Arabidopsis thaliana: one gene and its partners. The protein of the gene in region 2 binds, or shares a complex with, the protein of the main gene of each other region. Each region holds a gene or a part of one and is shown on either strand. Other genes may lie near its edges.

The links.
Region 1: DWA1 (region 2) and TEX1 share a complex: the UniProt entries of both Arabidopsis thaliana proteins name them as parts of the THO complex.
Region 3: DWA1 (region 2) and THO5 share a complex: the UniProt entries of both Arabidopsis thaliana proteins name them as parts of the THO complex.
Region 4: DWA1 (region 2) and THO1 share a complex: the UniProt entries of both Arabidopsis thaliana proteins name them as parts of the THO complex.

What each region holds. Positions count from the first base shown.
Region 1 is NC_003076.8:22,721,123-22,728,239, reverse strand, and holds TEX1 (Transducin/WD40 repeat-like superfamily protein), read left to right. Parts: upstream 1-3,140; 5' UTR 3,141-3,174; coding exon 3,175-3,240; intron 3,241-3,336; coding exon 3,337-3,432; intron 3,433-3,606; coding exon 3,607-3,736; intron 3,737-4,048; coding exon 4,049-4,140; intron 4,141-4,250; coding exon 4,251-4,319; intron 4,320-4,504; coding exon 4,505-4,562; intron 4,563-4,678; coding exon 4,679-4,778; intron 4,779-4,870; coding exon 4,871-4,957; intron 4,958-5,041; coding exon 5,042-5,120; intron 5,121-5,215; coding exon 5,216-5,351; intron 5,352-5,450; coding exon 5,451-5,485; 3' UTR 5,486-5,758; downstream 5,759-7,117. Other genes in the region: AT5G56140 (RNA-binding KH domain-containing protein), read right to left, coding at 308-457, 540-683, 766-882, 959-1,072, 1,485-1,630, 1,988-2,073, 2,588-2,778; AT5G56120 (RNA polymerase II elongation factor), read right to left, coding at 6,047-6,757. UniProt on the Arabidopsis thaliana protein: Acts as a component of the THO subcomplex of the TREX complex which is thought to couple mRNA transcription, processing and nuclear export. Contributes to the integrity of the endogenous trans-acting small interfering RNA (ta-siRNA) pathway.
Region 2 is NC_003071.7:8,412,422-8,419,767, forward strand, and holds DWA1 (DWD (DDB1-binding WD40 protein) hypersensitive to ABA 1), read left to right. Parts: upstream 1-2,624; 5' UTR 2,625-2,795; coding exon 2,796-3,121; intron 3,122-3,208; coding exon 3,209-3,285; intron 3,286-3,366; coding exon 3,367-3,412; intron 3,413-3,539; coding exon 3,540-3,600; intron 3,601-3,688; coding exon 3,689-3,742; intron 3,743-3,832; coding exon 3,833-3,913; intron 3,914-4,004; coding exon 4,005-4,044; intron 4,045-4,316; coding exon 4,317-4,417; intron 4,418-4,589; coding exon 4,590-4,700; intron 4,701-4,956; coding exon 4,957-5,073; intron 5,074-5,229; coding exon 5,230-5,319; 3' UTR 5,320-5,573; downstream 5,574-7,346. Other genes in the region: AT2G19420 (uncharacterized protein), read left to right, coding at 1,158-1,462; AT2G19440 (O-Glycosyl hydrolases family 17 protein), read right to left, coding at 5,743-6,356, 6,424-6,923, 7,063-7,346. UniProt on the Arabidopsis thaliana protein: Acts as a component of the THO subcomplex of the TREX complex which is thought to couple mRNA transcription, processing and nuclear export.
Region 3 is NC_003076.8:17,204,634-17,212,642, reverse strand, and holds THO5 (THO complex, subunit 5), read left to right. Parts: upstream 1-2,992; 5' UTR 2,993-3,120; coding exon 3,121-3,372; exon of another isoform or gene 3,373-3,437; coding exon 3,438-3,728; intron 3,729-3,807; coding exon 3,808-4,144; intron 4,145-4,220; coding exon 4,221-4,558; intron 4,559-4,666; coding exon 4,667-4,914; intron 4,915-5,167; coding exon 5,168-5,759; intron 5,760-5,844; coding exon 5,845-5,979; intron 5,980-6,066; coding exon 6,067-6,333; 3' UTR 6,334-6,672; downstream 6,673-8,009. Other genes in the region: AT5G42930 (alpha/beta-Hydrolases superfamily protein), read left to right, coding at 241-274, 783-918, 1,042-1,525, 1,654-1,905; AT5G42910 (Basic-leucine zipper (bZIP) transcription factor family protein), read right to left, coding at 7,432-7,497, 7,596-7,697, 7,791-8,009. UniProt on the Arabidopsis thaliana protein: Acts as a component of the THO subcomplex of the TREX complex which is thought to couple mRNA transcription, processing and nuclear export.
Region 4 is NC_003076.8:3,064,968-3,073,718, forward strand, and holds THO1 (nuclear matrix protein-like protein), read left to right. Parts: upstream 1-1,610; 5' UTR 1,611-1,847; coding exon 1,848-1,850; intron 1,851-1,949; coding exon 1,950-2,033; intron 2,034-2,109; coding exon 2,110-2,184; intron 2,185-2,280; coding exon 2,281-2,383; intron 2,384-2,543; coding exon 2,544-2,689; intron 2,690-2,768; coding exon 2,769-2,840; intron 2,841-2,966; coding exon 2,967-3,039; intron 3,040-3,129; coding exon 3,130-3,195; intron 3,196-3,291; coding exon 3,292-3,338; intron 3,339-3,527; coding exon 3,528-3,599; intron 3,600-3,726; coding exon 3,727-3,852; intron 3,853-3,929; coding exon 3,930-3,995; intron 3,996-4,074; coding exon 4,075-4,116; intron 4,117-4,248; coding exon 4,249-4,365; intron 4,366-4,457; coding exon 4,458-4,540; intron 4,541-4,749; coding exon 4,750-4,816; intron 4,817-4,943; coding exon 4,944-5,015; intron 5,016-5,114; coding exon 5,115-5,165; intron 5,166-5,254; coding exon 5,255-5,314; intron 5,315-5,391; and 3 more. Other genes in the region: AT5G09850 (Transcription elongation factor (TFIIS) family protein), read right to left, coding at 1-254; CESA5 (cellulose synthase 5), read left to right, coding at 8,389-8,469. UniProt on the Arabidopsis thaliana protein: Acts as a component of the THO subcomplex of the TREX complex which is thought to couple mRNA transcription, processing and nuclear export. Contributes to the integrity of the endogenous trans-acting small interfering RNA (ta-siRNA) pathway.

The DNA of each region.
Region 1 (7,117 bases), on a different chromosome or scaffold from region 2:
CTTAAAAGAAAACTGTTGGAACCCAACTTTCCAGACATAAAAACATAAACAAAAACAAAATCAAAGTCTCGGAGAGAGACAGAGACTCATCAGCTCTTGTGTTTCCGTTGCAATTTTGTCATCTGATCTCTCTCCGGGACAATGATACATAGACTGACAAACACATTTCATAAATCATATATACAACATTTCTACCCCAAGGACAAGAGACAGTACCGTGTCGTCAAGAGTGGTATGGCCTTTTTGTGTCGACTTTTGGATCGGTTTCATATTGCTTTATGATCACAGCCAAACTGTTCGATGGTTTTTACCCTTCTCTTGTTTTGGCTCTCTTCATACCAAGGCTATTGTAAGGAGAAACAGAACCGGACATTGGAGATCCTTCTTCACGAAGAGTTCCATTGAGCAATGCTAGCTCGCGCAGCTGTTGTTTCTTGTACATATCATGGGTTTCCTCCTATAAAACAGAAACCGAGTGTGAAAACTTTGTAACAATAACTGGTTTAAAATCAAAGGGAGGGGGAGAGCTAAAAACAAACCATAGGAGTAAGAAGATCGTCAAGTATTTCCCGAGCTTGCATGAGCCGTGCATCGACTATTTCAATCGGTAATTCTGCTTCCACTAAGATATGAAGTGGTTCATTTAGGTGCTCGTATCCCGGTTTTCCTCTCATCATTTCCTCCTACAAGAAGAAATATATTAACACCTTGTACAAACATTGAAATGTAGATACAAATGAAGTTGTAAAGTTTAATAATAAATACCTTAATTGGATCTTTTATACTTCCTCTTCCTCTTATAAGAACACGGCAATCAGTACTTGCTTCAACTCGCTTCAGGGAGTTTCCTCTAGGACCCAGGAGGCGACCAACAAAATTGAACTGCCATATAGAAAATTAAGGAGTTACATTCCAACCAGGAAGTAGTATATCTCAGTGTAGAAATGAAAGTTCATACATTCGGATAATTGTCGACTGGAATATCGACCCTGATTGTACGCTTGGCGATGAGACCGGACGAACTACCAGGTGAGTTAAGCCAATTTGGTCCCGGAGATGATGGAACAGATCTCTGCAAATGATCAACCAACAAAATTAGAAGCAAGATCAACCTTTAAGCATAAGCACATGAATACTGCAACTTCTTGCCCTGGAACTTCATTCAATGAGAGTGGTCACTGTATCAAGGCATTTCAACCTGTAGCTGTTATATCCTAATAATATGCATACAGTGACCACAGATATATGAGAAAATTATAGCATTAATTTCAATCCTACTCGTGAGGATAGTGGAGTATCTAATTAGTGTTGATCTAAGGTATGAACATACAAACATTACGGATATGAAGTGTTAGCCTACCTGTCATGATAAACTAGGACTAAAAGCAGTCAAATATGTTATGTCAGTATTATAACTTAAGTCAATAAAACTTCTATTGCAGTAGTATGAATTAGAGAGTTATGTTAATGGTTAGTAGTCATACTTCTGATGGAAACTGGGAGGCCCATCCATTCATGTCAGCTCTTGCATTCTGAAATATCCCTCCAGAAGCCAGAGGGCTAGGGTGGTCAAGCCCACTCTGACTTAAAACTGTAGCATTCTCCAACAGTGTGGTTACACGCAAAATTTCTGTTCCAAAAATGTCAATTTGCAAGAGTAAGACGCACCAGTTAGAATTAGTCAACAAATCAGTCACCAAGACACCAATGAATGGAGAGACAGCATAGTTAATTGAGTTAGCTTAAAATATATTTTTGCTCTCACTCTAGTTAAATACACTCTGGTTAAATAGAATGAAGTCAGTATAAGAAATATAGAATTAGTCATTTCGTGATCTACTTCTAATAGCTAACAATTAGGTCTCTCTTAGCAGTACTGTTTAAGAGTTTATCAACTGTATTATAGCTTCATGAATCTGAAGCAAAGAATGAAGTATTATGTGAGATGAAAATACAAATAATAAACAACAAAAACAGTAATGCTCACCTTGGTTTAGTAGCCGAAATGCATGTGGAAGCACAGGCAGGAATGGAGTAAGCTTATGACGCTCTGCAAGTAACTCTGAAAGATACCTGCCAAAACAGAAATTGTGCAGAGTATCCAAATTAGTAAAAAAGCCTCAAAGACACATCAAACTTACAAACAGATACACTCAAATTCACTCTAAATCGATACAACCAGATTCAAATTTCCATTCTTTTGTGAAGTGGATCTAGTCAATCTTCCAAAAATCGTATTTTTTTTAACAGTTTCATCAGCCAAGAACAGAAATCAACAATAACAGAAACGAACACAACCAATGAAATGATCCTCACACACTAAAGACTTATGCTTTACAAAAAATGAACTGGATTGAGACAAATCTGAAATAGACTGAGCTAGTTCCGAAACATAGATCCTAATATAATCAAAAGAAAACAAAAAAGACAAAAATCCAGATTCGAGATACACTATTAAGATCTAAAAATCAAAATCAGCAAAGCAAAGATCAACATACTTCATCAGATACATCAGCTAATTATAAAAGATCACCAAACAATAAAAAACAAAAATATAAAAGAAGATGAAAAACTAAGATTCGATTACTTCTCTTGCTCAACGAAGACAGAAGACTGTGATCGGAGACCACCGGAGTAATTAGGAGACTGAGGAGCAGAAGGAGGCACCGAAAGAGACGACGAATACGTCATAAACCTCCCTCCGCCGCCACCACCAATACCACCACCACTTCCTCCTCCTCCACCACCACCACCACCAAGCGACGACATCATCATCATCTCGAAGACAACAGAATCAGAGTAAATCTGTCGGAGATTAGAAGAAGAAGAAGAAGCGGCGGAGGCAGAACCAAAGCTGTTGTTGTCTCTCTATAACGTCGGTGGATTTAAGAGGTCATTTTATAGAGACTGTGAAATGATTACTTGTTGTTTGCTTAGCTGTTTTTTTTTTCACCTTTTTTCTTTGTTTCATATTTTACCCAATTTTACCGCTCTTCTTGTTAGTTTCTCTCTGAAGACTCTTAACCATCTAGAAGGTTTTTTACATCCGGTTTACTAAAATTCGATTCGGTTTATCTATACCGGAATGACTAAACGCTGCGTTTCAGGAAGCGAAGCTCTGATATTCAGTAGGCCGCGAAGGAAGGTTGAAGAAGAAGAGTTGAGAATTAAAAAATGGAGGAGACGACGATTCCTTTCAAGAGCTTACATAGCAGAGAATATCAAGGTCATAAGAAGAAGGTTTTTTTTTTCTATCTCCAGTCTAATTTTCTGTACTCAATAAAACTTGCGAAACCCTAGTTTTTTGCTGAATCTGGGGGAATTTTTGGATTGAAGGTACATTCAGTAGCTTGGAATTCGAATGGAACAAAGCTTGCTTCGGGTTCTGTTGATCAAACGGCTCGCATTTGGAATATCGAACCACACGGTCATGTAATTTCTTTACCTTTTTGAGCTATGGGAACTTCTATGTGTTTTTGATGATGATGAATACATATGGAGAAGTATTGTAGATTGAGTTAAAACTCGATTATTATCTTTGTCATTGTTACTTTTTGAGTTATGTAGTTTTTGTAATTTGGTTGTTTGTGTGGTGTGTGGATACAGAGCAAGGCTAAGGACCTTGAGCTAAAGGGTCATACTGATAGTGTGGATCAGCTATGTTGGGATCCCAAACATTCAGATCTTGTTGCTACTGCCTCTGGTGATAAAAGCGTTCGTCTTTGGGATGCTCGCAGTAAGTTATATTCTTTTAATCGTTTAGTTTTGCTCCTGAAATATGCCTGGAGCTTGGTTTAGAAATCTGTATATTTTCTAATGGATTAGCTATGTGTCATTCACAAATATTTCTCGCAATCTTGGCCTTTGCTTTTGAGTCATATCGCGGAGACTATTGATTGATGAGGATCGGATCTAAGTTTCTTAGAATTATAAATTAGTTATTTAGCCAGATTCCATAAGAGAGGAATTTGATCAGGTTTTTGATATGTGGCTACTATTGTATGTTTTACTATCAATTGCTGAGATATGTCTTCTTCGAGTTCTACAGGTGGAAAATGCACACAGCAGGTAGAACTTAGTGGAGAGAATATAAACATCACCTACAAACCTGACGGGACACATGTAGCTGTTGGTAATAGGGTATTGTCTCGAGCCCCATATCTTTACACTTTCATTGTTCTTACTGTCTATGGATTACTTGATAGATCCCTTTTCATAGTCGTTGTCCTTTCTCTTACTGGCCAATGTAGGATGATGAGCTTACAATTCTGGATGTCCGTAAGTTTAAACCTCTACACAGGCGCAAATTCAATTATGAGGTAACGTAAGCTCAGACTCATGTTAATCTTTATTAATGGCTTTTTTTTTATAAGGCTCTTCCGTATCTCCTGTTTCAAGCTCATGCGGTTATATGTCACCTAAGTTCCTTGTTCATGTAATAATCGTCAAGTAATTTTCTGGTGCCGTATGGAATGTTCTCTTATCTTTTGTCTTCTTGTAACAGGTTAATGAGATTGCTTGGAACATGCCTGGAGATTTTTTCTTCTTGACTACTGGACTTGGTGAGGATTTTAAATTCTGTACTTTCCTGCACACGATTCCCTACCAAAGATTTCTTTGTTTTTGAACTTGAGAAAATGATCTTACTGAAAGTTACTTTGTATGTTGTCCTGCTCAGGCACTGTTGAAGTTCTTTCATATCCATCTCTTAAACCACTTGACACTCTCACAGCCCACACAGCCGGGTGTTATTGTATTGCAATTGATCCTAAAGGGAGGTAATATATATTTACATTTGTGGGCTGGCCTCTGAGACACGAATGATAATCTTTTTGCTTTTGCATCTAATTCTTCCTCTTTACCTTAACAGATATTTTGCTGTCGGGAGTGCGGATTCCTTAGTAAGCCTTTGGGATATCTCAGACATGCTTTGTTTGAGAACATTTACCAAACTTGAGTGAGTATCAACATGAATTTTCCATAGAGTAGAAAAAGGTTTAATTTCTGTTACATGTTAGTAATTTATAACTATTTCTCACAGGTGGCCAGTCAGAACAATAAGCTTCAACTATTCGGGAGAGTATATTGCTTCAGCCAGTGAAGATTTATTCATTGATATTGTAAGTGATTGCCCAGACTTAAACACTGCTAATTTCAATGTAGTTTCCTCAATATGAGATTAGTTCCTCGTATCTGACCACTAACTACCAAACAGGCTAATGTCCAAACCGGGCGGACGGTGCATCAGATTCCATGTCGGGCAGCCATGAACAGTGTTGAGTGGAATCCCAAATACAATTTACTTGCATATGCAGGTGATGACAAGAATCCCAAGTATAATACTGATGAAGGTACTACCGCGTATTAGTACTTCATTGTTAGCAACAACTCAAAACTCTAATATTGGTAGCAGAAAATGAACAATGACAACAACTTGGATCTCTTTGCAGGTGTTTTCCGGATATTTGGTTTTGAGAGCTCGTAGGAACAGAGCACTGAATCGGGAAACATGATACACAACTCCACTTGATTGTTCCTTGTTGAGTTAGAAAAAGTTTATGTGCCTAGTGTACCTAAATATGTATTGTCAGTATATCAAGTTGGAATAATCTTACAGTATCACTAAATACATTGAAAGTTTGCAGTTCTGAATCTGGCATTTTATTTATTGCAAAAATTTGTTACTATACAAGCAATGTTGTTTATTATTAACGAAGAATGAAATTAATAAGATCAAGATCAGAATTCTAATCCCGAATTACATCAATTTTCTACTATGTGTGAGTACTGCTAAAAGTTACAGGTTGTTCTTATTCCCTCCGGCGAATCTTCAGTCTGGGAGATTTGACAGCTACTCTCTCAAAGCTAGAACAGAGGCCAATGGTAAGATCGGACCAAAAGCATCATCCCCACAATGAAGGTTGAAGAAAGAATGCAGAGTCCTGAGAAAGAAAACACATTTATTACTGAGAGTCCAATTTTGGATTAAAGAACAAGAAGAGCACACGATTTGCTTACCGAACAAACAGTGAATAGGAAGAGTTTGTCAAAATCCGCAGAGGATGAACTTTGAGACCGGGAAGAACAACCCTGCAGAGCAAAGAAGAACAATAGTTATCAAATACTGAGAGAACCAAGTAACAGGTTTCCACTTGATCTCAACGCTTGAACTCTTCATCCTCTTCCCACTCATCGGCTCTTTCGACAAATCAAAGCTCGACCCTTTCATCCTCAACTCCAAAACACACCGTGTAAGCGTTCTATTATCATTCCTCTCCCTATTAACACCTCTGTAAACTTTCCAGAACACAAACAGCTTAGCTTGAACAAGAAACACCAGAACCAATGAAGTAGCTAATGACACTGCAGAAGGTATCCACCATTTCTTGCAAACCGCATTACTTTTCACCACGTCAGCATCATCAGAACAAGAAGAAGAGTAGACAAGTGTGAAGAAGAACCCATGGAAGACTAGGAAGAAACAACAAAGCTGAAAGATCTCTCTTTTGATTGACTCTAGTCTTGATTCTTTAAGAAGAACACGACGACAGAACAAATCTTCTTCTCTTTGCCATAACTTCAAAAGCAACAAATGTCCTGGACTCTCTGAGATTTCAGACAACGGATGCTGCTGAATCACTTTGAGTATTCCCATTCCCGGATTTGAGACCGCAACCAACTGTTGTTGTTGTTGTCTCTCTTTATGCTCTTCATCTACTGGAATCTCCACTACATGAGAATCTTTAGTTCCGGCCATAGAGAAAAAAAAGATTGAGACTTTATGAAGAAACAGAGATCGGAATAGGAAAGCAATTAGAGAGTAAGATGAAGATTGAAGATTTGAGTTCGTTGTGTTTTTTTAGTAAGAATTCCTTTTCTTTCACAAAATTTCAGGTATTTAAATTGTTGTTCTTTAACGGCTATATGTACAACGGTCGGATTGTTTTCTTTTTACGTTATGTTGTTACTGCTGCGATAACATAGTAAGAGACCTTTTCTCACTTTAACGGCTATATTTTCTCCTCCAAAACGCATATAGCCAATATTTGGGCCTTTAATGGGCCGAATGATATGCAATGTGCTTTATAGTTTAACTAGGCCCTATGATTCCATTTTT
Region 2 (7,346 bases):
ATGATGCATATATATATATATATGTGGATATAAAATATATTTAATTTATATACACATAGTCCATAGATAGATAGATAAATAGACGTAGAGAGGGAGAGAGCAGGAGACAAGAAGAGAGTAAGCACGCAGAGCTTTCGAGCATGAGCATGCTAGAAAAAGAGCCATGTGTGCTCACTCTCTTCTGTCGCCTTCGTTATTGCTATTCCCTTACCTCCTTTAGTTGACTTGCTTCATCTTCTTGCATGCATATGATTTTGATGTTATATTAGCCTCGGTCCCTAAAATTACTATATGATATGATGATATGATATGAAACAGTTTGTCTGATTTTAGGGTCTATATATAAGGATTGCTAGGGTCTATATATGATGATGCATGCATAGATTTCATCATCATCATCCACTGACCACTAGCTACGTTTAATTTATAGAAAGATTCCGCCGGATTAAACTCTTATTTCCTGTCAATTTGAGCAACAAGATTCTCTCTTTTCAATTATATATACATAACACATGTCTATAATATACGTACAAACCAATAAAATTGGACTCTTAACAAAATTTTGAGAGTGAGAGATCCCACTTAAAACGAAATAAACTATTTGTTTGGTCATTGCATGCGTAAACGACCACTTGAACAATTAAGTATACATAACATAGGTCTAGATCTATGTGAAAGATTCCCAAACTTAAGATCTCTAGCTAGAACATTCATTGATCCTCCAATCAAAAACCAAAGGAATAAAAAGTAATCTTTGTAAGGGCGAATGTAAAACCGAAACGTAAGCTAGAGGAATTGATATTAAAATGGAAGTAAAAGCGAATATTACTAAAGGTTTTGGAGTTAATTAAATAAAGACAAAAGATGCAAGGACAACGAATTATGAACATCTTCGAAATACGTTTTTAATATTGTTTTGGCATTTGATTTGATTTGATTCTCCTTCCACATTCCCTTGTTCATATGTGTTTGTGTCTCACGCAAGCACTACATAAGCGGTCCCCCTAAATACGTTTCTAGAAACGTCAACGTTTATTCAATCATACCAAAATTTACATGTGTATTCATCAATCAGCCGACCATAAACTACATGGTCCATTAGTCATTACCTATACTGCAATTTTTCTAGCTTTTAACAGCCATTATGTACTTCACAGTTTGGAATACTGGTATGACGAAGAAAAGTCGAGGTAAAAAACGTATTAGAATAAATGTTTATCGTCCAAAGATCGCACCAGCAAAGAATAAGAAACCTAAACCAACAAAGGAACAATTAATGGACCCTGAATTTTCTGATGAAGACGTACTTACCAGCTTGGGTTTTGATGATGGCGGTTACATAATACCACTACCGAAAAAATCTCTCATGTTGATTAATCTACCAGATTCTTTTCGAGATGAGTTGCAAACGATGCATGTCAGTTTTTATCTCCGAGAAGTTGGCAAACTTATGTTTGGGTGAGGACAAATATGCTCTAGTGAATAGTACTAAGAAGTTGATGCTTACAGATGGTCTAGGACGGCTTCATTTGTTTTGGATGAATTCAATTTTTTTTCCGAATCAGTATTTGCGAATGAGATTTATGTAGCCCTAGATGTGAGATTTATGAAAGCTGGAAGTGCCAAAAAGAAAGGTGGAGATTTTAATTGTAACAAAAACGCACAGAGTCTTCTTTATGATTTTTTCTTGGTAGATATAGATGAGGAGATATATGGGTCAAAATTTGAAGAGACGGAAGACCAAAAGAAGTGGAACAAAAAATTTTGAATTGATTTGTCTTCATCATATTGTGCTATTAACATTAAACACGAAATAGAGCATCTGAATCTTGAATTCTATGGAATCTCTAAAACGAATAGACAGATCTCCGCGGAGGAAGTGAAATTCTCTACTCATACTGCATTCAAAATTAATTGAGTTTTTCAATTACATTGGAGGTTTATCCTTTGATACTTTCGGTTTGGTGATTTGAATGAAATGTTGGTTTTGACAGAAAAATGAATAACACTTGCATTAAAATCATCAAAAATTGAATAACACTAGAATCTAAGGAGGTGTATTCGATCTTATATTTTAAGTTATTTGAGTTTTTATATAATTTTGATTTTTTAAAGAATTTGGATGAATTTAAGGAGGTTGTTATGATTTATGGTAAAATCCTCTCAAATTCCACCTAAAACCATGAGATTTAAAATTATATATTTTTAACTAAGAAAATCCACTTAAGTCTCTTAAAGTCACTAAAATCCAATCTTTAAAATGTTTTCAATAACAGAAGATTTTTAAGGAGATTTTAAAATCAGTAATTCAATAGCATTAGATTTCATGATACTTTTAAAAATTCATAATTGAATAACATAGGATATGTTAGTTTGAATAAGATATCCTAGGTGTTAATTTACTATTTTTAAAAAGGTAAGATTTTTTTTCATGTTTTTAAAAAATGTGAGAGTTTTTTTACCTATTTTTCTATTAAAATGAAATGTATAAAATTAAAATTTTGTTTTTAAATAAAATTACTAAATTAAATATTACAAAATATGTATATATTACTATTTAGAATTCAAATATTATCGATACAAAATTAAATTTATTTCTTCAATTCGTCTATTTAAGCAAGCTAGTAATTTGATCGACAAAAAAAAAACAAGCTAGTAAAATATAATTAACAGAATTACTAAATCGGCCGGTTTAGGGATTGCTTTCTCTCAGTCGTCAATTGCACTAAACCACTGGTGGTAATATCGCTGGCGTTTCGCAAGTATCACCGGGAATTGCAAAGAAGCAGAGGACCATGTACGGAGACGCTACAAACTGGAATGAAGATGAGTATAGAGAATCAATTTTGAAGGAGCGAGAGATAGAGACACGCACCGTCTTCAGAACCGCCTGGGCTCCTCCGGCGAGAATCTCTAATCCAGACGCATTTGTTGTAGCCTCCAGCGATGGAACTTTAGCTTTCCATTCACTGAACTCGCTTGTGTCTCAATCGGCGAGTTTTGGCTACTCGAAAGGTCAAGATGTTATGGTGGCTGAACCTGAGAGAGTGGTTAGGGCACACGAAGGTCCTGCTTATGATGTTAAGTTCTATGGTGAAGACGAAGATGCTTTGCTACTTAGGTAGAGACTTAAATCTCTCTTTGTTGATTGATGAGTCTTTGATGAATTGTAATTGAGAGTTTGAAATTTTGATCTGGTTATGTGTAGTTGTGGTGATGATGGTAGAGTTAGGGGATGGAAATGGAGAGAATTTGCTGAATCAGATGTGTCTCTTCATTTGAAAGGTGTGTGTGTGCCATTTTTGTGGTTTTTGATATGAATGATGCTTTTTGGAGCTTAGTGGTTGTTTTTCTTATGATCTACAGAGAATCATCTGAAGCCATTGCTTGAACTGATTAATCCACAACACAAGTGAGTATGAGTTTTGTTCATTTTTTATTCTACTTGATAACTCTGTTACTGAAAATGCTATAATTGTGGGTTCAAATGTCAGTGTTCGTAATAGTTGTGTGTATAATCACCATTCTTTTTCTTATAGAGGTCCTTGGGGTGCGCTTTCACCGATGCCTGAGATCAATGCCATGTCTGTTGATCCTCAGGTTGGAATTGTATTTAAATTTCATTGCTTGGTTAGACAGTCTCACAGGATAACTGTTTCACCCTCTCTCACTTCTTTCGTTTTGATAGTCAGGAAGTGTATTTACAGCAGCTGGTGATTCTTGCGCATATTGTTGGGACGTGGTATGTATTTGACCATGATAGATGTATGTCCTATGTGAATCCAGATATCTTAACTTTCTAAAATCATTTATGTGTATCCAACAATTTCAGGAGAGTGGTAAGATTAAAATGACCTTTAAAGGTCATTCAGACTATTTGCATACTGTAGTTTCTCGTAGTTCTGCAAGTCAGGTAATGATGTTACCATAAATATTAGAAATGCACCTATCCAAATCTGAGTTCCACATTTGGATTTTTGTCTGATTGTAGTCTCTTTCTCCAGATATTGACGGGTTCAGAGGATGGGACTGCGAGAATCTGGGGTAACATGCTCCCGACCATATTTCTTTATGCTGTAATTTCTAGTATTAGGTCATACGTGGTTATAGAACTTTTGAAATCATTTGAGTCTTCATGTTGGTACTTAAGATCCAATGCTCCTCAGTTTTGTTGGCTGCTTCTTACAACTCTATGATGATTCATTTTGGTGATTACAGAACTTTCCACTATGTTATGTTTTGGTTCATGTGGTTTACTTTAGTTGTCTAGACTAAGCTTTGTTCGCTCAAGGGCTTCTTTCTGTTTTGTCAACCAGATTGCAAAACGGGAAAATGTGTTAAAGTAATTGGTTCCCAGGATAAAAAGTCCCGCCTTCGCGTTAGTTCTATGGCCCTTGATGGGAGTGAAAGCTGGTTGGTAAGAACTAAGCAACTAGATAATCTAACATTTTCGCAACCTGCTATTTGTTTGAAGGGATTGTTGCCTCCAGTAACCTAAGAATATAGTTCCTTTCTCCTGAAGAATCACTTAGAAGTTTAAATACTGAACATGTATTTACTGTTATTGGTATGATTTTCTCCTCTTTCAGGTTTGTGGACAGGGCAAAAATTTAGCTTTATGGAATCTTCCCGCCTCAGAATGCGTACAAACAATACCCATCCCTGCACATGTACAGGATGTGATGTTTGATGAAAAGCAAGTAAGCAGAACAAGATTAGATTGAAATTTAAGCAGTGTAATTTAAAGCCTTGGGAGGCCGTGGGTGTTATTTGTTTATCAAGGCTTAATAGGTTTATGTAGTATCTCTTTGAATCATCCCTCTTCAACGAAGTTTATTAAAAAAATTACTGACTTTTCTAAACTAGAAACAGAGGTCAACACCTAGTTTTAATTCCTGTGCTAAAGTTTAAACATCTTTTTAAAAATGTTGTCTTTAACAAGTATCGCACTATCAGATTTTGACTGTAGGAGCAGAACCACTTCTAAGACGTTTCGACTTAAATGGAGCTTTGCTTTCTCAAATTCACTGTGCTCCTTGTTCAGTATTTTCCATTTCCTTGCATCCAGCAGGAGTATGTTTCCAATCCCTTCTTTTCTCCCCATTTCCTATATATGTGTTTGCTTTTCTCCCATTTCCTATGTTACTGCTAATATTCTGCAAATATGTTACCCCTTCTGGACTAGAAACTCAATGTTTAACCGTTGATCCAATTCTTTTGTATTTGCAGGTAGTTGCTGTGGGAGGTTATGGAGGTATTGTTGATGTCATCTCTCAATTTGGAAGCCATCTCTGCACATTTCGTAGCAGTTCATTGTAAAACTCCTTACAGTTTCTTGATTTGGCTCGATACCCTAAAGAGGTACCGAAATGTGTCAGTCAGATTATTGCAGAGGTTAAGAAACCTTTTCTTTGTTTTTCTTAGGATCTTGCTCCTGACTAAAGACCAATTAGTTGTTTGGTTAAGTGTAATTGGTTTGTGGTTCCGTAGTTGCTATCAAATTTGAACCATTAAAATGACATTGGACCGGTTTAGTCTGATCACGTACATTAACTGCCGTTAGAGTTTCAATTTTTTGCGAGTCCTGTTTTCTTATGACCACCATTGATCAAATATTTGGATCCATAACTAAATGATTCTCACTCTTCCAAGTAAAATTTTACCATATTATGCAATTTAATACATGGACAAAACATATAGTTTCCATATCCACAAAAATAAGTCCTCAAAAACATCACTAATCTAAACCTCAAACATCACTCCTGATAAGAGAAACCAAACTCCAGCGATCAACAAAACCAAAGAAGAAGAAAATGAAGAAGCTGTGGAAGCAACAATCTGAATAGGGAAATTGCATTGTCCCTGAGATATATTCTTTGTGGTAATGGTGGCCAAACCTTGGAAGATACAAGCATCCTCATCCTGGTTCTTTACTTGAAAATACATGTTAAACGCATATGAAGCGTTCCCATTTGCATCAAGAGTATTGCAAGAAGACCCGTAACCAAGCGCAGTGCAATCCGAAAAAGTGCAGGCGTAATCTATGTTAGCAGCGAGTTTTGTCAAATCTTTGGCTTCTGTATTAAACATACACCACTTCTTAGGTTGATACGTCACGTTCTCGGCACCAATCAACAACTTGTTCTGTCCTTGACCTGATAGATCTATAGGAAACTTTGGTTGCCCGTCGAATTTGAATATTCCCCAGTGGCGTTCAAACTCTCCCGGTGCTATACTTTTCGCATCCTCATCAAGTAATCCAAACAAGTATACCTCAATGTAGGTTGGTCTCAGTGGAGTGCCTCTGTTTTCCCCAAGCCTTGGTAAAAGACCGTTGTAGAATCTGTAAGCACTGCCTGCGAAAAATACGTTTTCAAAACATTTCATTGCATCTAAAGAACTGGAAAATGTTAGATGTCTTACCACTATTTGCGTGTTTGTCACCCTCTGTTGGCCAACCGACTTCTCCAACGATGATTGGCATATCTCCATGACCAACAGCTTTCAAAGCCGATACCAAAGTGTCGAAATTGGCATCGAAAACGTTTGTGTAAGCAATACCATTGTCATCTACTGGTTTAGCACCATCAAAGAAGGCGTAATTGAGTGGAAAATCATCATTCCCATAGAGGCTTAAGAAAGGGTAGATGTTAATGGTGATGGGTGCACTGTTATTGCCAAGAAAGTCAACAATCTGAGTCATTTGACCGATGATATCAGGACGGAATCTTCCTGCAGATGGCACAGGGTTGCTTGATGGTGAATCGTAGACATCCGCGTTTAAAGGGACTGTCGCTTTGACGGAGCTTCCTAGTCCAGCTTCATTCAAAGCGTTTTGGATGTTTTGAAGTGCAGGGAATGTGAGGTTTATAAATGATCCATTGTATGATTTGAGGAATGGCTCATTTCCAACAGCTACAAACCTGAAAACACATCCACAAGAGATTAGACATATAAACATTTTGACAATGTTCTTACCAGATTAACATTTTCAGAGAATTGATTTCACAACCGAACACATTAGAACCAATATATAACAAGCAGAGGGAGAAACTCACTAACGTGATATTGACACCACCATTGAAGTTATAACGAGTGACATTCTTATGAACCCAATCTTTAGCTCGGTCATAACTTCCCATAACCTTAAGCTGATCATTAGGAATAGCAACCATAACTTCAAGACCAGAGCCAGAAAGTGCACTCATAGTGGTCTCATCCGCATCAAAAAGCTTAACTTTGTTAATGTTATTGTCCTTAAGCATTTGAACCACTTTCTTTGGTGGAAGCTTATGTGTAGCCATTGTTCCCCAGTTGACACCTAGCCCATCTACCATAACAATACC
Region 3 (8,009 bases), on a different chromosome or scaffold from region 2:
TTTTTTTTATTGTTATTTTGTTTTCCTTTGTAAAGTAAAAAAAGAGAAGATTTTCCTCGCTTAAAGTTAGTTACATATAAAGACACGACAACTAATGCATATATAATCTCATTTAGCTGCCATCGTCCAATTATTTAACTTATCTAATAGCATGATCATGCATGATTTCCATTGATTATTAAATCATGAAATAATTGTGTTGGACTTATAATCTCTATGTTTTTATTAAATGTGGCACAGATGGACTTATTAGGTTTCTACAGCTGTTGGAATGGTGAGACTAATTCCCTTTTTTTTTTATATTATTGATGAATAATTAACTTAATGGGTCCGAAGAAGGCAAATACCACGTGAAAACACTGTCTGAAATGTGCAATATATTATTTTTCTTAACTAAAAAGAATTTGATTCCAATAATAATACTCAAATCAATGATAGACCAAAAAACTTTATATTTAGTTCAATTTATATATTGTCTTTCCTAAAAATCAATTTATAAAAAGATTAAATTCTCTTACCTTTTTGCCTCTAAATTAAACATAAAATTACGACTAGAAATTTTATGTTTGTATCTTTTAAATAGTTGTCTATGTGTGCTAAAATATTTAAAATTTTTAGAGACAATAACCTCAAATTCTCTAGAATTTAAATTTTCCTAAAATACTTCATATACAGTTTTTTTTTTCATTTTTTTCATATACAGTTTTAAGATCAAATTCATTTTTCTATTTATATTATATAAACAAAAAAAATTAATTTATTTTTTCTTCCTTGGTTTTTAGGTTACCAGAAACAAAGATCAACGGAGGTGATTGTTATAAAGGACACAAGTACAGATCCAAACCTCATCATCGTTAGTTTCAGAGGCACTGATCCTTTCGATGCCGATGATTGGTGTACAGACCTGGATCTCTCTTGGTAATTTTAGTTTCTTTTGTTATAATTTATTTCCACACACAAACAGTCTAGGTTTTTGTTTTTATACTCTTTAAGTTCATCCTTTAGCCCCCCTAATAAAACTAGTATTGATTTCCAAAATAGGTACGAGGTTAAGAATGTGGGAAAGATTCATGGCGGGTTCATGAAAGCTTTGGGCCTTCAAAAAGAAGGATGGCCTAAAGAAGTAAACCTTGACGAAACCCAAAACGCAACAACTCTATATGCATACTACACTGTTAGGCGTCACTTAAAAGAAATCCTCGACCAAAACCCGACATCTAAATTTATATTGACCGGACATAGCCTAGGTGGGGCTTTAGCGATCCTATTCACGGCTGTTTTGGTGATGCATGATGAGGAGCAAATGCTAGAGAGACTAGAAGGAGTTTACACATTTGGACAGCCACGCGTAGGCGACGAGGAGTTTGGAAATTTCATGAAAGATTCACTAAAGAAGTTTGACGTGAAGTATGAAAGATATGTTTATTGCAACGACATGGTTCCTAGGTTGCCTTTCGACGACAAAACACTCATGTTTAAACACTTTGGGGCATGCCTTTACTATGACAGTTTCTATAAAGGAAAGGTTGGTTGCATATATATGACAATCTTGTTTCTTTGCTTTAATCACTCATCCGTCTAATGTCGCTTACGCACTTACCCTACTGATGATATCTATCTACATTGTTGTTGTTTAATTTGTATTATGTTCAGGTAGAGGAAGAGGAACCAAACAAAAACTACTTTAATCTCGTATGGGTTTTACCAAAGATAATGAATGCACTGTGGGAGTTGATACGTAGTTTCGTCATGCCTTATTGGAAAGGTGGAGAGTTCAGAGAAGGATGGTTCTTAAGGTGTTTTAGGGTTGTTGCATTGTTGATTCCTGGATTACCTGCTCACTTCCCTAATGAGTACATCAATGTTACTCTTTTAGGTGACTTACCTGACTCGCATCTTGATTAAATTTTGACGAAGTCATAAATTCTTTTGAAAAGTTGATGTGTTTAGCTTTTCTAGGGTCTCGTTTCGGTGATGTAGGTGTTATTTTCTTATTTTGGCCTTAGATCATCCTTTCTTTCTCGCAATGATTCTACGTCTCACTTTATCTTTATCTGCATCAAGAAAAGAAATGCATAAATATTTCAATAAATACTTAGTGAAACGATTCTCTTACCTGCGAGTTATACACACAAGCAAACCAATATAACAATCAACAAATAAATCATGAAATAAATCAAACCAATGAACAATCATCCATTGACACAACCATCTCGGGGGATTGAATAATGGTACCAAAAATACTGCCTATACATACAACAAATAAATCACACAATCTCAATTGCTTAGATAATCTCATGGTCACATACCCACCTCGAAACAAGAATGATTTTGAAACCAAAAACAACAATCCCACAACGAGCAGTAACTTCCTACTCACCAACAATATCTCAACTCACCATACATCCAACTACAACAGCAAACCAACCTTTAACCTAAATTGGAAAAAATCTGAAAATAACCCAAACAATTGGTCTCAAATATTGAGTCACGAATCGCAATCTAACCGTCCAATTCAAATCTCCACCGTTGAAACTCAACCCTCAAGATGTCCTGAAGCTAACCTCAAAGTTTAGTGATGATCTGACCGCAGGTGCACTCGAGATAATTTGTTTAATACACTCTGGTCTAAATCACGTCTGAAACAGAGGACTTTACGAAAACACAGATAACTTTTAGAATATTAACTCAAATCCAAATCCGCAAAGTGGTAAATCTAGTTATAAGGCTTAGCTACAACTCAATAAAATTTCCGTACCATAGAAGGCTATTTGATTGATCAAACCTCTGTTCTACCACGACATATCTGATATGTCTCTCTCTTCCTTCACCAAAATTATCAAGTAGTTTCCTTTTTGGTGTTTTTTACATAATATTTTTGATATCAAACCAAATTTTTTCTTGTCTTTATACAGAATTTTCTGAAAAAAAATGTTACATAATCTCTTTTACGCAATTATCATCCCATCATGGAGTAGATATAATATTTGTAACAAAATATAGTTTACATAAAAATCATAAATAGTTTGACAAAAAAACAAAGAACAAAAAAAAAGAAGAAGAGAAAAATCATAAATCCTGTCAGAAGTACCGGAGCGAGCCTGACTGGAGAAATCGAGAATGGAGGACGGCGAAATAGAGGAAGGAATGGTAACTGCCGACGAATTCCCGACGCCGGAAGTAACTACCATAGAGACTATACAACCTCCCCGAGAGCCAGGAAAATCTCCACTCGAGCTACTTCGAGAGAGCAAAACCTCCGTAGAAGAAATCGTCGCGAAGATGCTCTCCATGAAAAAACAAGGAAACCACAAATCTGAGATTCGAGAACTCCTCACTCAAATGTTCCTCAACTTCGTCAATCTTCGTCAGGTACTTACCAATCTTCTCCCTCCACCTCTTTCGCTATACGATACTTATTAGGGTTTTTTTCGCAGGCGAATCGGGCGATTTTGACTGAGGAAGATAAAGTGAAAGCGGAGACGGAAAGAGCAAAGGCACCTGTTGATTTCACGACATTGCAATTGCATAATCTTATGTATGAGAAGAGCCATTACGTTAAAGCTATCAAGGCTTGTAGAGATTTCAAATCTAAGTATCCTGATATTGACCTTGTTCCTGAACAAGACTTCTTTCGTCATGCTCCTGAAGCTATCAAAGATCAATCGCTTTCAAGTGATAGTTCTCATGTTTTGATGCCTAAGAGACTCAATTTTGAGCTTCATCAGGTTGGTTAATCATCACCATCTCTGAAATTCATTCAACGTGATATAATGTTTCATTACCTTTTTATGTTTTTTGATTCAGAGGAAAGAATTGTGTAAGCATCGAGCGAGATTGGAGCAACAGAAGAAGAGTTTATTAGAAACCATTGCGGAGCGTAAGAAGTTTTTGTCGAGTCTTCCTCTACACCTTAAGTCTCTGAAGAAAGCATCGCTTCCAGTACAGAACCACTTGGGTATACAGCACACAAAGAAACTGAAGCAGCATAATTTAGCTGAGCTGCTTCCTCCTCCGCTTTATGTTCTATACTCACAGCTCTTGGCACAAAAGGAAGCTTTTGAGGAGAGTATTGAATTGGAGGTAGTTGGGAGTCTTAAGGATGCTCAAGCTTATGCTAGACAACAATCCAGAAAGGACTCAGGTAAGTTGTTTTGAAAATTTACTGTGTTTTCTAATACTAAAACGAAAAGAATGCTAATTTGGTATTGGTTTTTCAGGTATGTCGAGTAATACAGAGAGTTCTAGGTTGGAGGATGATGGACCTGATGACGATGATGATGGACAAAGGAGAAGAAAACGACCCAAGAAACTTACTAGCAAAGAAGGTTCTGACAAGGCAGGATTATATCAAGTCCACCCTCTCAAAATTGTCCTTCACATATATGATGATGAGATACCAGATACAAAATCCTTGAAACTTGTCATTCTCAAGTTTGAGTACTTGCTGAAGTTGAATGTTGTATGTGTTGGCGCTGAAGGCTCTCAGGATGGACCAGAAAAAAACATATTTTGTAACTTGTTTCCAGATGACGCTGGACTTGAGCCTCCTCATCAGGTAACTTTTTGTTTCTGTGTTTCAGTTTTCTTCTACATGTGACTTTTGATGGCTTTACTTTTAAAAATGCATACTCAATTCTCTTTATATGGCCGGTTTTCCATGCAGTCAACCAAGCTCATCCTTGGTGATGGTCAGACGTTTGATGAGAACAGAACTTCAAGGCCTTATAAATGGGTACAACATTTGGCGGGAATTGATATTTCACCGGTTTTATTAGGCCAAGAAGCTCATAACACTGACCCAGCTAAAAGTGATACGTTTGTGCCTGATCTTTCATTGTATCGCCAGCAGCATAGAGTGCAAACAGTTCTGCGAAGAATACGCTTGCGGAAAAAAGCGCATCTGGCTCTTGCGTGAGTTCACCACTCTGTATGTTTTCCGTCTTAATTAAAGAACACGATGCAAAGAATTCCAGAAAATTAGTAGACCACCATGATAATCAGCATATGGTTTGTACATTTAATAGTTTGGGTTTGTCAATAACTTGGCGGTCAATTTAATCCCTCTGTAGCATTGTCAACTTCGTGATAAGAGCTTCTATAGGTAATTATTTCTGTTGATATGTTTATTTTTGCTGAATACTTTGGAAACTTCTACTGGCTACAGGGAACAGCTTGATTTGCTTATGAAACATGAGTTACCAGTGGTGAACTGCGAAGATGCTCCTTGGGCACTGCATAAGGTTCTCTGTGCTTTGGATTCCTGGTTACATATACAATCTTCAGCTAGTAAGTCATGCTCTCTGACTCTGAACAGTGTGGAACAAGTTCCAGAACCTATGGAAATCGATGTAGATGGAAGATCTATTTCTGGAAAAGAAGATTTTGAAAGTATACGGGAAGATGGAGAACTTCCCTCTTTGGTCACGGCGGCTGCTTCGTTAACCAGTTCCAATCATACCCCATCGAAAGTATCTAATCAAGCACGGTCAAGGCAGTTGGCCTTGATGACAAAGAATCTAGATTCTCCGATTAGCAAAGGAAAGTCCCCAAGTTTCAAGAAATACGAAGATGATTTGGATCTTGTTCTGGACGATGATAGTGAAATAGATGAGCCAACCGGAAGAACTGAGGCGCATGTGGAAGAGTTATGCCCTGAGAAAGCTGATAATTCATGGGTGGATTATGGTTCGAGAGAGTTTGCGCTTGTGTTCTCCAGGAAAACAGATGGCGGAAAGTTGTGGAAGTTAGAAGCAATGGTAACTTCTAAAACACTATCTTCTAATACGGTATCTTCCCTATATCTTTTTCTTTCTTAAGTGTTAAATCGAGTTGTATTGGCAGGTACAAATTAGCATGGAGTATCCTCTTCGACCTCCTTTGTTTTCTCTGTCTCTCCACGCATCTTCTTCATCAGGAAATGAAAATGGGACAAATGAAAGTGACCATTACAATGAACTTCGAGCAATGGAAGCAGAAGTAAGTGTCAAACCCAGTAACATATACTAATCTTTACTCGATGACACCAAAGATAACGCCTTTGTAACCTTTTCGTGGCGGTATCAGGTGAACCTTCATATGTTGAAGATTATTCCTTCAGATCAAGAAAACTATCTCCTATCTCATCAAATCAGATGCTTAGCAATGTTGTTCGACTATTACGTGGATGACCCATCTCCAGATTCCAAAAGAGGAACAGCCACAACTGTGGTTGATGTCGGTTTGTGCAAGCCTGTTGACGGTAAGCTTCTTGTGAGATCATTCAGAGGCAGAGATCACCGGAAAATGATCTCATGGAAGGGCAGAGGATGTGCATCGGGTTATCCATGCTAGAGATTACATCGCCACTCACTTCTCTATATTATCTTTCTCTGGTGGTACAAGCAAAAGTTTTTGCATGTAACATTTTTTTATCGTATAAACCGTTATTGAAACAGCCTACTTGTTGGGTGAGGACCTGGTCTGTTTTAAACCTGGCAATGTTTCAAGTCCAATCCGTTTTAGCCTGCTCTGTTTTGGTCTCGATTTAAGCATTAAAGCCTAGCGGGTAGCTTGGAAACTAGAAAAGTGAAAAAGGGCTCGTCACAGGTTTTGGAGAAAAAAAAAGGAATCAACTCGTAGACAACCGTTATTACAGGTTGCTACTGCAATCATTGACAAATGTTGTTCCTGCAATTGGAGGTAGTGAAGAAAACAAAACCAAATCAAATTGGATATTAGTTTATAACTTTCAAGTGATTATATAGTTTGATTTACTTTAACTTTTAGTTTTTTTGTCATCTTATTTAAGTACAATTACCAAGGAAATATGCAAGTTTGAATTACAAGAGCGGGCGGAAAATAAATACATCCCAAAAACTTAATCCAAAAGAAGGAAGCGAATCCCTAAATTACAGGAAAACTGTCAAACGTAAATTTTTACATATCAAAAAGACAAAGCAAAATCAAAGGCATGAACGAAGACCTAAGAGGAACCACGATTTGCTAAATTCACTCCCATGTCCCAGGAAGAACAAAGCCAACCACAAAAGACAGTGAAATTTTTCGTGTTTTGTTGCAAATGAATCAACACTGAATTTTTTTGATTTATTATAGGAGTTATTTTTGTATATTGCAAATGAATCAATAGTGAAAAAATTTAGCAGCAATTATTGAGCCTATAATATAATTTTATAGTTTTATGGTTGAGATTAGTATGACATTGTTTTCTAAAGCCAAAATAATAATATTTAATAGTAGTATTTTCTGGCTCCAATAAAAATAAGTTTTGGATTTTCCCCTAGACCATGAGAATTCGATCTTTAGGACATTATCAAATGGGTTTAAGAATAAGATGTCTAATAAATAGCTTATTTGGTCAAAAATATACGAAAACAAAACATGATGAACAAAATAAACTCATCATCATCCTCCAACTCGGGTTTCATTGATTCACTTGATGTCCGATTTCGTTCTCCTCAGCTTTCTCTCCGGTCGTTCATGAAGGCTAATCATTCCCTTCACGTATTATTTAGATATACAAAAAGTTAGAACAAGGTTCTCAAGTTTTTAATTGATGTACGGTTGAGGAAATAAGATTGGAATAAATAGATTACTGGTTCCATTTGTCTTTTCCGCAACTCTACATGTTGTTTTAGTAGCTCTTCATAATCTTTCTTTAAGTTTTCAAGTTCAACTTCAACCTCCATAGTTTGAGCCTAGAGAGCAAAAATGAGCAGTTTGGTACTTATAAAACACAATCAATCAAGATGGATAGATAATATATATATATATATATAACATTTTCTTACTTGCTTTCGAGCCCGTGATCTCGCTGCGGATTCTCGGTTCTTAATCTTTCTCCTAAGCTTTTTGTCAACGAATTGTTTTTCCGCGGTAATTTCACTATTAATCTTCCCACCTCTTGTACTAGTACTACCATTACTAATGTATGGAGATGGTGAGAGTAATGAAGACTCACCGTTAATCTTTTGTTTCCCATTTAATGTTGGAAATGGGGTAACCGGTGA
Region 4 (8,751 bases), on a different chromosome or scaffold from region 2:
TCCGTCTCCTCGTGAACCCTCCCATTATTAACCCTACCAATCGCCGCCTCCGTAACGTTACCACCGCCGCCAAAATCGCAGTTTCTACACTTGTTAGCCATCGACGTAGCGTAGAGACGCTCGACGATGTTATCTCTCCGACGTTTCAGTTCTTGACCATAGTCAAGAGACGCAACAAGAATCGCCGTATCGATAAATGTCCAAACATCAACACCTGCGTTATCCATAACCGATCGGAAATCATCCAAATCCATTATCACCCACACTCCTCCTTCTTCCCCAAATTTGGTTACTTAATAAAGAATTCAAAACGAAAAACAAAAAACAGAGCAAATCGAATTACGTAACCAGATCTAAAAGATGAATCTTTTGATGAATTTGATTCATCGGAGATTAAAAATCGTGAAGAACCAAACAAAGTTTAGATTTCAAATAGTTTAAAAGATAGACAAATAAAAAAAACAAAAAACAGAAGAATCAGATTGGTAAATTCAGATTAAAAAGGAAGACCCTTTACTGTTACGAGGAAGAAAGAAACAGAGGAGGTCGTCTCACATAAGATCAATAATGAGTAAATGGCAAATTAAAAAAAAAAAAGGGAATGAAGAAGAAAGGGAATATTCCAAATTTGAGGCTTTAGAATTTGGTTTGGAGGGTTATTGCTTTTTCTTTCATTCTTCTGCAAGTTTTTTTTTGTTTGGTCCGTTAATAAAAATAATATTCAGACAGAATCAATTAACAGTTTTAGGACAAAAGTAAAAGAAGAAAATGGGAATTGCTTTATTGAGGGATGATGCTCTTTGCCCTGGACAGAGCAAAGCTAAGCAAGTTGGTTTGTTGTGGTTGGGGAGATGAACAGCTCTAGAGAGAGAGAGAGAGAGATGTGAGTGTTTTTCTTTCAATAATGGCGTTTACTTTTTTTAGTTTTTCTTCAAGTGACGAGAAACATTTTACATGTTTCGACTTTTTTGGTTATTGGGCCTCTAAATTTTTGGCCCTATAGCAAGTGGACCCAATATGTCAAATCAATATTTTCATTTGGTCTCAAAGTGTTTGTTTCATGACTTTCATCTCATGAGCCACTGCCACTCACTAATCGTTTAGTGAATTTACGTCGACGGTACAATCAAAACCCCCAAAGAGAAGATCACATCCGAGTTTTTAGGTGTTGAAGGAGGTGTTCGATCCATCAAAGTTTACTTTGTTAGGAAGTAATGTTTATTTATCACTTGTTGAGTGTAGATTATGAATACAATGTCTTTTATGCAATTATTGGAACCTAATATTTATCTCGAACAATTTCGAGCAATTTTTGAAATCTTCAAATCCTTCTCATGTGAGCTATTATGATTTCTTCTGCAATAACATACCATGAACAATTTCGAGCAATTTTTGAATACAGATGTTTTAAATTTCTAATTGATTTGATTCCACACATTAAAACTACGCCATATCCAACATATACAGGCAAAGGTCTTCTGTAAAACTAAATAATGTGAAGCCCACCACCCAACGGATATCATTTTACTATGAAAGGCCCAATGAACATGTTGTTATTCAGTTTATAAATTAAAAATATTTCGGATCCAGATCCAAGCCCGGATATTTGCGGATAATTTGATTGTTGGGAGGATATCTTCCGGATCCGGATCCACCCTAAATTAAAATTGTTCTTCCTCCACTCTTCTTCAAGTTTGGCCTCCGTTTCCAGATTTTTATTCAATTCTTCTTAATCAACTTTTAAAATCCGGCGACTCATAGTCCGTGAATTTTGACCGGCATATCCGGTTTTGGTGTCGTCGGTAAATTCCTCTTCATTGCAGTGGAAGCTGGTTCATTGAGAAATAATGGTAACTCTTTTGGGATTATGAGACTTGTTTTCTTTTGCTTCTTGTTAAATCTATATAGCTTATAAAAACTTGTTTTCTGCAATTTGTGGTTCTTCGCAGGATGCATTTAGAGATGCTATATTGCAGCGAGCTCCAATTGAAACCTTTGCACTCAAGACTGTTCAACACTTTATACAACCTCAGGTAACTCTTTCGAATCAACTAACAATTTCTTCACTCCTTTAGTCTTACTTATTGTCTTTATTGTAAAATTTGACAGAAACAAACAAAGTTGGCTCAAGATGAAAACCAAATGCTTGAAAACATGCTCCGGACATTGCTGCAGGAGCTAGTGGTCTCTTCTTTCTCCACTATTATATTTTCGTGGTATGCGTATATACTTGTTCATTTATATATGTGTGGATTTCTCTTTCTGTTTTCGGGGTTTCAGGCTGCTGCTGCGCAATCAGGGGAGCAAATTATGCAGTATGGTCAGTTGATTGACGATGATGATGATGATGATGATATACATGGACAGATTCCTCATCTTCTAGGTTAGCAATCTCTCTAGTCTGATTTGCATAGTTCGTTCAAACAAGTGCTAGCGTTGTCCCCGTAAAACTTCTTATTCTCTTGTTGTCTATTGCTTATCATCTTGTCCTCACTACTTTTGTCTAACCTCTCACCATCTTCATGTTTTGATTGCTTTGTTAGATGTTGTGCTTTATCTTTGTGAGAAAGAGCATGTAGAAGGTGGCATGATATTCCAGCTGCTGGAGGATTTGACCGAAATGTCTACTATGAAAAACTGTAAAGATGTTTTCGGTTATATTGAAAGCAAACAAGATATATTGGGCAAGGTATTTCTTAAACGAAATCAAATTTTTTCTCGGTTAGTTGTATCTTGTATTTTGACTTGGATGTTGCAATTATTTGCAGCAAGAGCTTTTTGCACGCGGAAAACTTGTCATGTTGAGGACTTGCAACCAACTTCTCCGCCGACTCTCAAAGGTTCGCTATCTGCACCCTTTTCTAGTTCCCTTTGTCAAATATCCATAAGTCATAATCTACTTTTTCATATATAACACATCCACTCTTTTTTAATTCTTTTTTTTGCTTTCACTATTTGGCATACAGGCCAATGATGTTGTATTCTGTGGAAGGATTCTTATGTTTTTGGCTCACTTTTTTCCGTTATCTGAGCGCTCAGGTAAGAAGGGTTTCTCGTGCATATACGATTATTTGGTATGTGAATGTTTAAAAGGTGTGTAACGTTTACTTGCGTGACTTATTCTTTCAGCCGTCAATATAAAAGGTGTTTTTAATACATCTAATGAAACCAAATATGAAAAAGATCCTCCAAAAGGCAAGTGATTTTTTTTTTTCTTATGCTTTTGGTCCTTATCTCCATATGACAATTCTAAAACGTGTTACTTATTCTGTCTATGTCATTGCTTCTCAGGCATTTCTGTAGATTTCAACTTCTACAAGACATTTTGGAGTTTACAGGTGCGTATTAGTTAAAGGAACTTTGTAGGGAACGAATGTTATGCCTTTATCATAAGGGTTGTCTCATAGAACCTCTGTTTGCATATCATGCAAAATCAACATTACTGGAGATAGCATCTCAAATTTCCTTTTGTTAGTTAGTTTATTGAGATAGTTCTTTTCTTACTGAGAAAATTGTTTCGTTTCCAGGAGTATTTCTGTAATCCCGCTTCTCTTACTTCCGCATCTACCAAGTGGCAGAAATTTTCATCCAGTTTGGCGGTATGTGATCTTTGGTTTTTGACTAAATTGCATTACCTGGTCTTGTATATATGTATATGCATAGAAAATTCATGCTGGCGGTAGTGAGAAATCATCTTAGACCTTGTTTCTTGAACTGCTTATGTAGGTTGTTTTAAACACCTTTGATGCTCAACCACTAAGCGAAGAAGAGGGAGAGGCTAATAGTTTGGAGGAAGAGGCAGCAACTTTTAATATAAAGTACCTAACAAGTAGTAAATTGATGGGTTTAGAGGTAAGTATGCTGTGGTTGGACATGCGCACTTCTGAACTTAGCAGTTCACTCACTTTTTTTTCTACCTTTCGCCACAGTTAAAGGATTCGAGTTTCCGACGACATATTCTTCTCCAGTGCCTCATTATGTTTGATTATCTAAGGGTAAATGTCTCTCAAGAATTATTGCACGGAAATTACTCTCTCTGGTATTCTGGTATAACTGAATCCTGTTTCCGTTTAGGCACCAGGGAAGAACGACAAAGATCTGCCATCTGAAACCATGGTCAGTGTTTTTTCTTGTTTAATGAGAAAATTCCTCTTGCTTTCTTTCAAAGGTTCACAAACCTAGTTATATCTCAGTATTCAGGGTTTTATGCATAATTACTCAAAGGTATTGTTTATCTTTTCGGTCTAGAAGGAAGAACTTAAGTCATGTGAGGATCGTGTAAAGAAATTGCTTGAGATCACTCCGCCTAAAGGGAAAGAATTCCTCCGTGCAGTTGAGCATATACTGGAGCGCGAAAAGAATTGGGTATGTGTGCTGCTTTCTCTCTTACCTGCTGCATGATTTTCTGGCTTGTAGTTGAGGGCCGTTAATGATCTTCTACAATACACAAATAACAGGTCTGGTGGAAACGTGATGGATGTCCACCATTTGAAAAGCAACCGATAGATAAGAAATCACCTAATGCAGGGCAAAAGAAACGGTATGGGGAAAAGCTGACCTTGTAATCTAACTGCTTTGTACTCATAGATGGTGTCCGCCATTCGAATTTAGAATACATTACGTGGAAGAAATTGAGAAGATGTTTTTTCCCTAGTGATCTCTGGTCGCTAGTCCATTAAAGTGAGAAACAACTAATAAATCTGCATTACGAGTATTAGGCTCAATATGGGTTATCTTTTGCTTTTACAGGAGACAAAGATGGAGATTGGGAAATAAAGAACTCTCCCAACTTTGGAGATGGGCAGATCAAAATCCGGTATGCATTATTTTTCTTTGCATCCTTGTTCGTTGTTCATATTATGCCACATGCTTCTCCAGCTCTCCTCTCGGCTCAATCTTCATATTACGACTCTACAATAATTGTATATCTGATGGGATAACAGAATGCTTTGACTGATTCTCAACGCGTGCGAACCCCTGATATTGCAGACTACTGGAAACCATTAGCAGAAGATGTGAGCTAACATACTGTTTTCTTTATTTTTCCCAAAGGACATCTTAAAAAAAATGGTTGATGTCTTATTAGCACACCTGATGTTTTGTTAAAATCTCAGATGGATCCATCAGCTGGCATAGAAGATGAGTACCATCATAAAAACAACAGAGTATATAACTTTCCTCTGATTTACAACTTTTTTTTTTATGATGCTTAATTGAATCAGTCTAAGGCAGATAATTGTTACTGTTTTGATAGGTTTACTGCTGGAAAGGTCTTCGGTTTACAGCTCGGCAAGACCTTGAAGGATTTTCTAGGGTAAAATTTTCTTCGATTTCGATTTCCCAATGCTTCATATGATTGCTTTTTAAAACCTTTTTCTTTCTTTTTCACAGTTTACTGAAATGGGAATCGAAGGAGTTGTCCCAGTTGAACTATTGCCGCCTGAGGTCCGGTCCAAATACCAAGCTAAACCAAACGAAAAAGCCAAACGAGCGAAGAAAGAAGAAACCAAAGGTGGATCTCATGAAACAGAGGGAAACCAGATTGGTGTTTCTAATAGTGAAGCTGAAGCTGAAGGAGGAAGGGGTGATGCAGAGACGATGGAGAGTGATGCTATTGCAGACACTCCTACGCCTGAGGAACAGCAAAGACTCGGTGGTTCTGATACAGAAAACGGTCAAGAGGCCGGTCAAATCGAAGACGGAGAGACAGAAGAAGCTGGTCTGATGGACACTGATCTTGATCATCCTCCTATGCCCGTCTCATGAATACGCTTTCAGTTTGTCGACCCTTTCTTCAATGGGGAATCCTTTGGATATGAAGTTCAAAAGTATTGATGTTTAACAAATTATGTTAAAAGGTATTTTCTAAATATGTTTGTATGAGTGCAAATCTGCTAGCTTATTACCTGTCTTTCCATTTCTATATACTCAACAAAATCATCATACAATTAAGTTCTTTTGCGTAATTTATCGTCTAAGTGTAACACTAGACACATATTCGCAGCTAATAAACATTGGATTCAATTGCAATCCACTAAAAATACACTCAAACAAACAAAAAAATCAAATACTTGAGGAACCAAAAGCTAAAAGTGTTACTATTATAGCTATCAACATAAACTTTATGTTTTGCCATCAATATTTATTTAGAATATAAATGAGTGGTTTTTAAGTCGTGTCACGATTTTTAAAGTCCATAAACACCACCGATCTCCATATAATAATAAGGTTTCATCATATGCCAAATCCAATAATACGTGAAACTATACCAGTTCATTGTAGGCTTATTTGGTTATATTATTACTACCTCCAATCATTGAAAATGTATATACTTTGTTTAGTCGTTATCACTTGTCAATGCATATCAAATCACCTTATAAATTTACCCAAATTCACTATTGAATTGTTGATGCACTGTCACATAAGATCACAGTTGTCTTATAGTCGTCGCACTGTTATGACAAAAAAAGTGTCGACTCATATTGAAACAAAAAAAAGACTAAACAATGTTGGCACAGCGATGCGATAAAGAATCGACCAAGAGACAACCGAGTGATTTGTGTTGTCAACGACAAATGAAAAGTTGCCTATTTTTGTTACTTATCGTTTGAATACAAAACCGTAGATCGATCTAAACATAATCCGAATATACTAATTTTTTGTTTAAACATGATTTATTAACAAAGTCATTTAATTATTGTAATACAAAAGGTTTTTGCCAAAACAACAACATGCTACTTTTTCATCATTTTCCCGGAAGAAACTAAAGATACATGTGGCACCGACACTTTTCTAATTTTCTATCAGATCATGTGGCCCAAAGGATTTGGAAACAAACAGTACCTAGAATGCATTCTAATCATAGATATTTATTTTTATAAACCTACTACGTCTTTAGGCATATATTAGCTTAACACTAAAAATTACATATGTTTTTTTATATATAAAGAAGACGAACTCACAACTTTATTAGTACTTTATTGAAATTTAAGAGCAGGTTAAAAACATTGAAAACATCATATATTGTGATTTTAGTGTTACGCAAATATTGTCTAAAAAATACGTTAGTTTTTCTTGACTTAACTTATAGTGTACATATATAGGTATATAGATTGTCGGCAAATGTATACATATGGATGTATGGCATATAAATAAATATGATGTGATATGATAGTCTCAATAATTTGCACATTGTTTTCCACTTGTACATAATATTTTGTGGTCAACAGTACATTAAATTTGTATATGCAAAACAGGAGAAAAGACAAATGGGAAAAATAATGGTGTGGGTGGAGCCTAATTTAATTGTATCTACGCAAGAGCTAGTGAATAGAATTAGAGAATTTAAGTCTGTATCAAGGCAAATGAAAGAAATAAAGAAAGTTATTCCTTGAACATTTCTAATTTTATATTTCAGGTTAATATAAAGTACATTGATAAAACACAGTTAAAAGTCAAAACCAATGTGCTCAACATCCTCTAAGCATTATATATATAGCTTTTATTTTTGTGAATCTATTTTTATTGTGATTAGTATAGTCATCACTCAGGAGACAGAAGAACAAAATAGAGGGAAATAATAAATGTAAAGGGTGATCCAATGTTTACCAAATCTATATAAAATTTTCGTCCTTTTCCGATAAAAAGACTCAGTGAGTCAAAATTATTCATTTAATTTTTCTTACGTCAATTTAAAGTCAATTTATACATTTTAATTTTTGTGTCTACTTTATAAGTACTCAGTATTTTTTTTTTTTGTATAAAGAATTTAACGAAATTACCAACTGTTAAGACAAAATAGGAGTGGAGGACAGAGAGCGCCAAGCGACACACTTTTACTGGGTCCCACATTTTAAATTCATTTATTATCTTTTATTTATTTTCTAAATCTCTTTTTATTTTTTTGTTGGTAGTTTGTGTGGTTTTCTTTCTCTACTTTGGTTTGGTAGTTGATTACTTGAGGAGGTACTTCAATATCTTCCGTCTGTGTCTCTCTCTCTTCGTCTTCTTCATTACGCGTCTTCTTCTTTCTCCTCTTCTTCTACATTAGCCCCTCTCTCTTTAATTAGCTGCAGCTCACCTTTCACTATCTCTTCTTTTATATTGATTGTGAACTTGTGTGTGTGCGTACATTTGGAGTTTCAGAGAAAAACAGTTGGATTCACTCCAATACCTAACCTTTCACCCATCTTCCTCATTACTTCTTCAGAAGAAACTGAGAAATCTTCTCTGCAAAGCTTGTAATTGCATGTTTTGATGGGAGTTGTAACGACTGGATCTCTCTCGACCAACCTGTTGGGTTGACTTGACCCGGTTGCAGACCTCGGAAGCTAGAGATTGCGTGTGTGTGTCTGAATTTGACATACTGTCTACTGTTTTGTCGGTACTATGAATACTGGTGGTCGGCTCATCGCTGGTTCTCACAATAGGAATGAGTTCGTGTTGATTAATGCAGACGAGAGTGCCAGAGTAAGAATTTATATCAAAATTGAAGCTTTTTTCACTTCTTTCTCTCTGTTTTGATTTGCACACATTGTTAAATTTTCGTTGCTCTGTGTAAAGGTTTTGCCTTTTTCTTATTCTGGATCTGGGTTTTACATTTCATCGTTAATTTATCAATTAGGGTACACGATTCCATAATTCTTACCTACTTTTATCATCATGTACAGTGAAAGTTTGTGTCGGTGGGGATTGAATTCTGAGTTTTAGTGTGTAAAAAATCCCCAAATCTAATACTTTGCTTTAAAAGAA